Linked DNA regions of Saccharomyces cerevisiae S288C. Changing the gene in region 1 together with any one later gene gives a genetic interaction. Each region holds a gene or a part of one and is shown on either strand. Other genes may lie near its edges.

Region 1 (2,708 bases):
AGGCGTCCAGGTGGTACTTCCCCATGCACTTGGAATTGGTTCAGCGTTCCTCCATGGATAGTTCCTTATTGTACGGTAGCGACCCCAACTTGGTGGACGAAATGCTAGAGAAACTTGCGAAGATTAAGTGTGAGGAGGTTAATGAGTTTGAGAATCCCCTTTTCCTGGAATCTCTCGTAGTGAAAAACGTACTAAGTAAAGTCGTGCCGCCCGTGTAAGTTTATTATGTATTTCGAGCATGCATCTGGAACCTATGTTTACATACGTACAAACGGTATTTAAAAGTTTCTATTCTTAGCGTCAATTGCCCTTTATCGTTTTGTTAACCAATTGTTGTTTTTATTCATTATGCCATGACCCGAAAAATGAGCAAAATCGGTCAAAGTAAATAGCTAAATATTTGGTCTAAAAAGTAAGAGAGAAATGAAAATGGCAAGGCTTAACTACTTTGCAATAGTGTATATAGACATTACCAATTGAGTCCAGCAACGAAAGATTCCGCTTGCACTTGGTCAATCATTTACTGACCATAATACGAAGTAATAGAGATGCTACTAAAAGATGACCATGCGATTACAATTTACAATAGACAATTAAGCGCAAGGACAATCAGTATGCATTCCATTTCTAATAGACAAGGTGCTATGAGTGAATTGCTAGCCTCCCCTTTTTATTTTGTGCGGTCACCGCAAGGGACAAAGCTTTTCTTAGAAAACCGTCTGAGAAGCATAACGTACGCCATCCCCTAGACATATTAATAATGCTACAGATACTATGCTGCTCGTCTTTTTTTGACGACCCTTTTATTGCAATGTGCAACTAATGGCAAACAACCACATAGTATCACAGTATTACATTGCCTCCACCGATGCGGATGTTAGGGCGCCAAGTCTGTCATGAAGCATGTTCCTGTCATAATCTTGTATGCAAAATACCGCGTTCTGCGCCACTGATATGCTAGGCAGCAGCAACCTATGCAGAAGATTGCTTTTCCCACGCCTGTTTTACGTCTCCAGGGCACTTGAAACAATGCAGCGATCGCCGCCACAACACGCCAAAGAGAAGCGAAAGTGGGCCTGGGCGGCCTCAGTTTCGGCAGAGGTAAACAACACGAACTGAACTGCCTTAGCTCCGAAGGGCAATTCCACAGGCACTCCGCGGGGCCCGGCCAAGGCCCAAAAGGCGTGGAATATGCGCGTTTTGGGGCCATAACACCCAGTACCACGGCCGGAACGGGCCATATAATAAGTTTTTCACTCTCAAGAATGGTAAACGTAAATAGGAACATCCCACTACCCTAGAAATTGCGGAAATTTCGCGCTTATCATTAGAAAATCTGGAACCGTCCTTTTTCCTCTTTCTTGCATTTCCCTTTCCGTATTATTGCCATTCTTTAACTGCATTTGGGGAACCGTAGACCAAAAGCCAAACAGAGAAATGTAACGTTCTAAAAAAAAAACAACGAAAAAATTGAAAAATAAGATACAATAATCGTATATAAATCAGGCTTCTTGTTCATCATTTTCAATTCTCTTCTTGCCATCCCTTTTCCTATCTTTGTTCTTTTCTTCTCATAATCAAGAATAAATAACTTCATCACATTCGCTACACACTAACAAGAAAAAAAATGCAATTCTCTACTGTCGCTTCCGTTGCTTTCGTCGCTTTGGCTAACTTTGTTGCCGCTGAATCCGCTGCCGCCATTTCTCAAATCACTGACGGTCAAATCCAAGCTACTACCACTGCTACCACCGAAGCTACCACCACTGCTGCCCCATCTTCCACCGTTGAAACTGTTTCTCCATCCAGCACCGAAACTATCTCTCAACAAACTGAAAATGGTGCTGCTAAGGCCGCTGTCGGTATGGGTGCCGGTGCTCTAGCTGCTGCTGCTATGTTGTTATAAGAAATCTCTGATTTTTTATAATATCTATATGGCTTTTTTCAAAATTTTCGGTTTTACTAGGTAAGTGTTTGATTCTTTTCTTTTCGTTAATATATTTTTACACATAATTTTAAATAATTTTTGTTATTTTGAATAGGTAGATACCATAAAAATAAAACACTTTTTACTTTAACGATGTTCCTGTGATTTCTCTTCGAATGAGTCAAAAATTTGAACTCGAAATGAATGTATTAGAGACTGGGTTTCTTCGAGTTTGCTGAGATCTTGGCTATGCACAATGTTTCCTGCGCCCCTAAGGTGAAAAAAACATGCATGCTTGTTTCAACAGACCAGTGTGCATAAAGAATTTCGCCCTTAGCTGCGATTAAAGAGTCAAGGCGTGAAAAACATAGGCGAAAGTGCTGACCGTTCTTCCCTTTATCTTTTTACCATCTTCGTTATCTGTTACCTGTTCAAAAGAAAGTGGGAAAGATATTGGTGTGCTACGGTGGGATCTTTTTTTTCTGCCATTTTCTATACTTTACTTCCACTTATAAAATATTTTACAAATTCAAGGGAGACGTGTGACAAAATAATAATCTAGAACTCAATGAACTTTTGTCCTCACTACAATTGCCCCTCGGATGGATTTGAACTTACAAGAAATATCACGTTGGCGCGCGCTAAAGTCGCTTGCCAATGCGCTATGAAATTTTCATGACCTGGCACATTTTAGCACAGTGCCATTAATCCCTTTATTATGGGCATTGATGCGACTTTAAAACTGTACCTTCCTTCGCACATGCTGAATTTTCTTAATGAG
Region 2 (8,071 bases), on another chromosome or scaffold:
TATTCAGCCATTTTATTATTTGGCACCGGTGTTCCCAACGATTCTTTAGATGTTCTTCCAAACAAATCAATGTACGAGTCAACAAAAAAAGAAAAATTCATAATCAGCAGCTTAAGTTTGGCAACTTCAGATGTATTGATCAAAAATAAGGGGAAAGTTGACGAAATGACCTTGTTAAATATCTCGACATTCCCACTACCTATAGCGGACAAAATCTGGCAGGTTTGCTTCAAATCCTTTTCATATTTAAAATTTGGTTTCAACTCATCTAATACATGAGTGAAGAACTTTTCAAATGATACTTTGTCAAAATTGTATAGTTGCAATGCCATTAGATTAATAATTTTCAAGCAAGCATCGTAGTTAGTATATTGGCCCACATCATCACTCTGTTGGTCTTTATTGTACGGATTTAGTAGAGTGTTTTCATTTCCTTCGCTGTTTTGCATAATTTCAAATTTCAAAGCGTTCCAAAGTAACGTCCAATTTTCCAATATAGAAGAGCCGCCGAATTTTCTAACGCATTCTAATAGCGTCAGAAGTGTATCATTTTTCACTACCGGTGAAGAAGCAGTGAGTTTGTCCAGCAAATTGCTATAAGCATCTTCGGCAAATAATGGCGTCGCAGTAATTGCTGATCGCAAAGCTGTTTTTAAATCTTGGTTGGAGATCTTGTAAGGATCATGCTTTGGTGGCTTGAAAGTGATTGGGAAATAGCAAAATAAGACATCAAATAAGTCTTCTTTAAAATTCTCCACGTTTTGCAAGGACGATGTGATAGATTTATTAAGTGCAAATGACAAGAGTAAATTTCTAGGGTCTTTTTCACCATTGGCAACATGAAGAAATGTTTCAATAAACAAATCGTTGATTCGTTTGACTTGTTCGGTCGAGGATCCATTGACGAAAAATCTATCAAATATTTTTCTCAAAATTTTAAATGGCCACAGTCTAGTTGATGCCAAATGCTGGCCTTGTTGATAGTTGTCCAATAATAATCTCAAAAGTTGGGCTATCTCGTTAATGGAGACATATTTCATTGGAGCTAATGCGGCGAAGCCCTCCAAGACTTCTTTTGCAAGCGCTTGATCATCAAGCTTAGACTGGTAAAACTGAAATATTACTGAGCATTCGTTTTTGGAGAGGTGGTCCTTGGGAGTTTTTGCTAAGATAGTGGTTAAACATGTCAACGCTTTCTTCCTTTCTACCTCATTTTCTGAAAGAAAATAATCTTTCAACGCAACGACAACTTCCAGCAATTTTATTGATCGGTGTACAATAGAATCCGTTACTGTGGAAGCGGTTTCGTTGGCCTTCGAATCATCAATATTCAGATTGGCCATAAAGGTGACGACTGCTGAATTTAGTTCGTCTGGTGTCATTGTAAGGCCCAATTGTTCCGCTTTTTCCCAGTTAAAACAAGTTCAATGAAAACTAACAGCTAATAACTAGATGATCATAGAGGTGACTCCTTCATTGCACGTAAAATGTACATAATCTACAATTCACTTAAATAACTAAACCAAATTTCAGTATTTGAAAAATTCATACCTATTACCCGCTTTTAACTTTTTCTTGGCTACTCACTCATGAAGGCCTAAAAAGAAGCTGCAAAGTGGTATTACCTATCTCGAAGTATGTCCTAGCTCTCTTTGACTCATTGAGGTCACCTAGAGTATACCATCCCTTCCAAATTAGCGGTATCAACATCACATACATTGGGAGTTGGTTGAATCGTTATGGTTGTATCACTAACCACGAAACGACAGCCACACAGGAAAATACATATAGAACTGTAGAAATTGGGATAAAGGATTAGGCAAATGAAGAGAGAAAGCAAATGTGGATTTAGGTCTTCATAATAGGACGTGACTGGTTAAAGTGTGAAAATTCTGGTTGTTTGTTGTGTTCCCATTTTAATAACCCTTTTTAGTTTTGTTATACATCAAAATGGCCTCGAGATTTACTTTCCCGCCCCAGAGGGATCAAGGCATTGGTTTCACCTTCCCACCGACAAATAAAGCAGAAGGTTCTAGCAACAATAACCAGATATCAATAGATATTGATCCTTCAGGCCAGGATGTCTTGGAGGAAATAAACGAAGCGCCACTTAACACATTTCCTCTTCACCAATCCGTTACGGATGCACCTATTATTGATATTCCATCTCCTACTGATATGTCTGAAGGCACCTCTCTAAATAATCAATTACTTTTACGGCAACAACAGCAACAAGGAACGGGGGAAGGTCAAGCTCTTCCGCCTACCTTTGTTGAGGAGCAAAGTGATCAAAACAAGATTTCAATGCTACTACCTGAACAAAAGCAGCAAAGAATGCAAGAATCAGCACCGCCGGACATTACAGCAAAATCAGTAGCAGAGGACTACGTGACTACTTTGAGACAGCAAATGGCTACAGATTGGAAAAGTCCCTCTGAATATGCTCTTCATATACTTTTTACAAAGTTTATTCGTTACGCGGAGAACAAACTAAATATGTGTCTACAGCAGTTGGACATGGCGGAACCCCCAATTGTAGAAATTCTTGGTGAAGGCGTTGATCCCAGCTTTGATGAAATTATTAAATCTCTAGGTCACATTGCAAAGAAAAAACCGAAACCTGTGATTGATGCAATGATGTTTTGGAGGAAGACTAAATCTGAAGCGGCCAACTCTGCTTCAGAAGAAATGGAAAAACTATTAAAAGAGTATGAGTTTGAAAAGGCACATCCCTCGCAGGCTCATTTTTTAATGAATAGGCGGCTATCAAGATCTTCCAGTAATACAACCTCAAAGTACAAACATAATAACAATACCAATAATCTTCCTGGCATGAAAAGGCACGTTTCCTCATCTTTCAACAACAAAGTTCCGTTAATCAAAGCTAGTAGCAGTAACAATAGCGCTACTTCAAGTCCATCCATAGCGAACTCACAATTGAAAAGTTTAGAGAACACAATTGAAGTAGCAAAAGAAGAAGCATTCCTTGCAGATAGGAAATCTCTGATTAGTATATACATCCTATGCAGGGTGCTAAATGAAATTGTTAAGCAGGCTTCCAGCAATGAAGAAGAAGATTTATCTGATAAGCTAGAAGAGATTGTTTTTACTCAGTTAAAAACTACTGATCCACTTTCTATATCAACTAGTTTAATTAAGTCTTCGAATTGGAATTCTTTTGCCGAACTACTGGGCTCTATGTCTGAAAAGAAATTTTTGTCAGTTAGTGATCGATTTATAGCTGATCTAGAAAAAATCCCGGCGTATATACCTCCCGAGTTAGAGCCAAGTACTCATTTGTTGATTCTTGGTATGAGATATTTGAAGTTAAGAAATTATCCGTTGGAGAAATTTGAAGAAAGTGCAGATTTCATGAAAAGTTTATCAAAGTTCTTCGCAAAGACTGAAAATTTTCCGGTTTGTTTGGCGTATGCTGAAGTCACTAACCAGCTATTGTTGCCTTTGGCTGGCTCGTTGACGGCAGAAGTTAATCATCCAACGTGGGTAGAGGCAATGTCTACTTTACTGAACACTGCCAAGAGGCTACAAGCTGATAGTAAGTATTGGGTAAGTGGTTTCAAATTAACAGTTTCTATTTTGTGTGCATCACCACCAGACCTATTTTCTAAACAATGGCTATCGTTGTTGGAGGCAAATGCCTCAAAAGTTAAGTCCAAAAGTCTGAATGAAAGGATTATCTTTGCAGTTGGTTTATCCAGATTAGTTTGGGTCTATTTATATAGATGCCCAGAAACTTTAAATAATACTACAAGGACGCTTACCAAGCTTTTACAACTATATCTAAACACAAGGAAAAAAGAGAATTGGATAACCGGCGATTTTGGTCTCTTGAACCCATTGACAGACGCGTTAATATCAATTGGATTTTTACATCCGAATTTTTTAATGGAACAAGCTTTAATTCCATTGATACGGCAATCTTTCAATGGCTCTAACCTGGAAAATATCAATTACGAAAAACTGATTTTGACTATAAATACATACAAAGGATTGCTGGTTACAAAAGAGAGGCCAAGGTTTCCTGAGGATGATAACAGGCTTTATGAACTAAATTTAAACAATATTACAGTGAATCAGGTTCAAGAAGCCTCTTCCATAAACCATACAGAAATATCAGATTACTTTTATAAATTATTCCTTTTATTGGATTCTAGCATCGGTTCTGAAGTTTGGTCTCCTGAAAATCAGCACCAAAAGCAATCATCAAACGCATTCAGCCCATTTGGCTTTAGCTTTTCTAATGACAATGACTCAAGTAAAAATAAGTCGCTTTATGTTATATTGTTCGGCACCATCATTGAAGCTATACCATGTTGCCTTTCTATTTCACGCACTATCCCATATAAATCTACAATTGAGATTTTATCAAGGAACGCTGTTCATTCGGAGGTAATTATTTCTTCTAGCAGTCAAAATGCACTAAGAGCATTAGCATCTAAGAAGAATCCATACACCCTAATCACATGGTTTGCTAAATATTCATTTGATTTCGATGAAAAGACACAATCAAGTTATAACATGTCGTACTTGTCATCAAAGGAGTACAACAGATTATTGATACTTTATGTTGAGCTTTTGGAATGCTGGTTAGAAGAATTCCAATCGTCCAATAAAGAGGAAAATAAAAAAGAAACTGGTTTGGATGGAATTCGCTTGTTGCCGATCGATGCAGAACAAGAGGAGAGTAACGAAACCGAAAAACTGGAGTGGAAAAATACAGTTACAGTTATTGAAGAAGTAGAAGGGAATGGCTTATTTTTTCTTTGTTCACACGATGCAAAAATTCGTAGATTGGGCATCCAGATATTGAGAATTATTTTCAAGTTTGACGAAGCGATGATGGAGAAAACAGAGAAATTGTCAAACGGGCATTCTAGATCATCATCCCATTTTGCAGCTGATCGCGGAACAAGACTTATTGATTTATTAAATGAGTGTAATACCACTACCTTAATTAATCCACATAAAGCAACATTAAGTGCGGTTGAAAAAACGAGATTCAGTCGACTGAATTCTAAATATAAAAGAGGTCTACTTATCAAACTGGCCGAATCAGAGTACGGAGTAGATGCTGCACTATGGCAAAGGGCTTTTCCTAAATTACTGGCGTTGGTTTTCAAAACTTGTCCTATGGCGATGGCATTGTGTCGATCTATCGTTTGTATAAGACTTGTGCAAGTACACGAAATAATTCTGCGGGTAGCAAATGATGTTGATTTCAAACTCAAAAATGTTTTACCGGAAACAATAGTAAACCAATGGAAGCTATATTTGATTGCCGCATGTACTTCATTAACTTCCACGTTTGACCAAAAACTGCATATTCCGTCCAATATTCCTCAGCATGGCAGGAAAAAAAGTCAACAAATCTTTACTGTTCAGCACCAAAAAATCAAATCTGCGAAATCAATCTTCAAGATGGTTCTTCCCTTATTAAATGCAAAGTATATTATGATTAGGGATGCTATAATAACGGGGCTAAGCTCAATGAATATCAACATTTTTAAAGCATATGTGGAGGCAATTGATGTATTTTTAGTGGCATGGAAAGAAGGGAGCTCCAACAACCAAATCAGAGTGGAGATGTTTCATATTTTGACGATTTTATCGCCGTACTTAAAATCGGATATGATATTTAATGACGAATGGATACTTCGGAAATTATCAGAGTTTTTGCAGAAGACAAAACAGTTCCTCGAGAAGGATTCTGTGCAAATCTCCTACGAATATCAATCGCTGCGAAGCTACTTTGCAGGTCTTATATTGAGCTACTATATGGCAGTAAGAGAGCATCCGCTAATAGATGAATTATTTCCCTTCCAAGCACGCGCATCATGTTTCAATTTCTTGAAGGAATGGTGTGGTTATGGTGAGTACGAGCCAATATCTGAAGAAAGATATGCCATAATGATAAAAAATACAGAGAGTGGCAGAGATAGAACCGCTATTACAACTGGAATAGAATTCCAAAAAAACAGATTGCAGATGATCGTGCTAGAGACTATGGTTGTTTTATGTTCAGATCCAATAACCCAAACATTGGACGATGATTTAGAGTTGCCTATTGTGATTTCATTCGATACTGAAGATTTACTTGCTTGGATTGAAGCACTATTTGACTCGGACAATACTACTGTAAAAAATCTTGGTGTGCGTGCTTTGGAGAATCTCCTGGACAAAAATAGGGAAAATTTTAAACTATTTAGAGATGTTGCTTTCCAATGTGTTTCACACCACTCACATCCTTCGGTAGCTGTTTTATATTACACTACACTTTGTAAATCCGTTTTGAAATTGGATAATTTGGTTTTAGATGAAGATGAATTAGTCTCCTTGGGTTTGTATGGTTTAGTGGCAGATAAGGAAGATACAAGGACATTTGCTGTTGATCTACTTTCAGCTGTTGAAACGAAATTACATAATTCTTCTTATACCAAGGTATTTAAGGAGAGACTTGCAAATTCTTCAAAGACGGTTTACAAATCAACTGCAAAAGAAATTTCTAGCATATTTGCCGAACTGCTCTCTCAGGATTTGTGTTTGAGAATATTTTCCAGTTTGGTTAGAATACTTGATTTGTTTCCTTTCGAAATAAAAAGAGATTTGTTGGTGCTTATGGTACCTTGGGTAAACAAATTTACATTGAAATCTTTAGAAGAGTTGGACACGTTTATGGTATTGAATAACCTATTTTACATCACTATTGATCTTAACGACTCTTTACCGAACGAAGTAGAGCAGCTATGGATTTCTCTTGGCAAGGGTAATTCTTTCCAAAATATACACGTATCGCTGGAGTACATCATAAATTCTTCAATGAATCACTGCAATCCATTGTTTGTTCAGTATGCTAGAGATATTGTATTGTATTTGGCAAATATTCCTGGTGGCATTGGACTACTTGACACTCTATTGAATAATTTAGAACCGAAATACATGGTTCCTTTAGCGAAACATACGTTTAATGAGCCAATGAATAATAATAAGTATTCCTTTTTAGGGAATATCTGGGAACGACTAAATTACAATGGGAAAAGAATCATTTTTTCGAAGGCGCAGCTTTCGATTATCTTTTTAGTCAATTTGTTAACGAACTTGAGTGAATCTGTAAAGGCGAAAATTCCTCTTCTACTACATATGTCCATTTGCTTGCTTGACCATTATGTGCCGCTTATTCACGAAAGCGCGTGTAAAATTGCATCTACATTAATATTTGGATTGGCACCAAGTCACGAAAAGTCTGAGGAAACCGTGAAACTACTAAGAAATAAGCATGCCTTATGGTCATATGATAACTTGATGAAAAAAGGTGCAAGATCACCAAAAACTATGGACCTATTAATTAGGAACATAATCTCTATATTCTCGGACTTAGATGAATTTCAAGTAACTTGGCAAAGAATTGCCTTGAAGTGGGCTACCACTTGCTCAGTTAGGCACATAGCGTGCAGGTCATTTCAAATATTTAGATCATTATTGACATTTTTAGATCAGGAAATGTTGCGTGATATGCTTCATAGACTTTCGAACACTATATCGGATGGAAATGTCGATATACAAGGATTTGCCATGCAGATCTTGATGACTTTGAATGCAATCATGGCCGAACTTGATCCGACGAATTTGATCAGTTTCCCGCAGTTATTTTGGTCCATTACAGCATGTTTGAGCAGCATTCACGAACAAGAATTCATTGAAGTGCTGTCATGTTTAAGTAAATTCATTTCCAAGATCGATTTGGATTCTCCTGATACCGTACAGTGTTTGGTTGCGATCTTTCCTTCCAATTGGGAAGGTCGCTTTGATGGCTTGCAACAAATAGTTATGACTGGATTGCGATCAGCGAATTCCTTAGAGATTACGTGGAAATTTTTGGATAAGTTAAATTTGTTGAAAGATAGCCGAATTATAGCAAATACAGAGTCTAGGCTGCTTTTCGCATTAATAGCAAACCTTCCGAGATTTTTGAATGCAATGGATCGCAAAGATTTTACGGGCATTCAGGTTGCTGCAGATTCGTTAATTGAACTTGCAAATGCGTACAAACAAC

Evidence for each region.
Region 2: of CWP2 (region 1) and TAO3, a mutation in one rescues a mutant of the other (synthetic rescue), as found in Saccharomyces cerevisiae (one study listed by BioGRID).

Annotation. Positions count from the first base shown.
Region 1 is NC_001143.9:257,626-260,333, forward strand, and holds CWP2 (Cwp2p), read left to right. Parts: upstream 1-1,627; coding exon 1,628-1,906; downstream 1,907-2,708. Other genes in the region: MTC2 (Mtc2p), read left to right, coding at 1-218; YKL097C (uncharacterized protein), read right to left, coding at 878-1,288; YKL096C-B (uncharacterized protein), read right to left, coding at 1,448-1,597. UniProt on the Saccharomyces cerevisiae protein: Component of the cell wall.
Region 2 is NC_001141.2:107,117-115,187, reverse strand, and holds the start of TAO3 (Tao3p), read left to right. Parts: upstream 1-1,950; coding exon 1,951-8,071. Other genes in the region: MET18 (Met18p), read right to left, coding at 1-1,382. UniProt on the Saccharomyces cerevisiae protein: Seems to play a role in cell morphogenesis.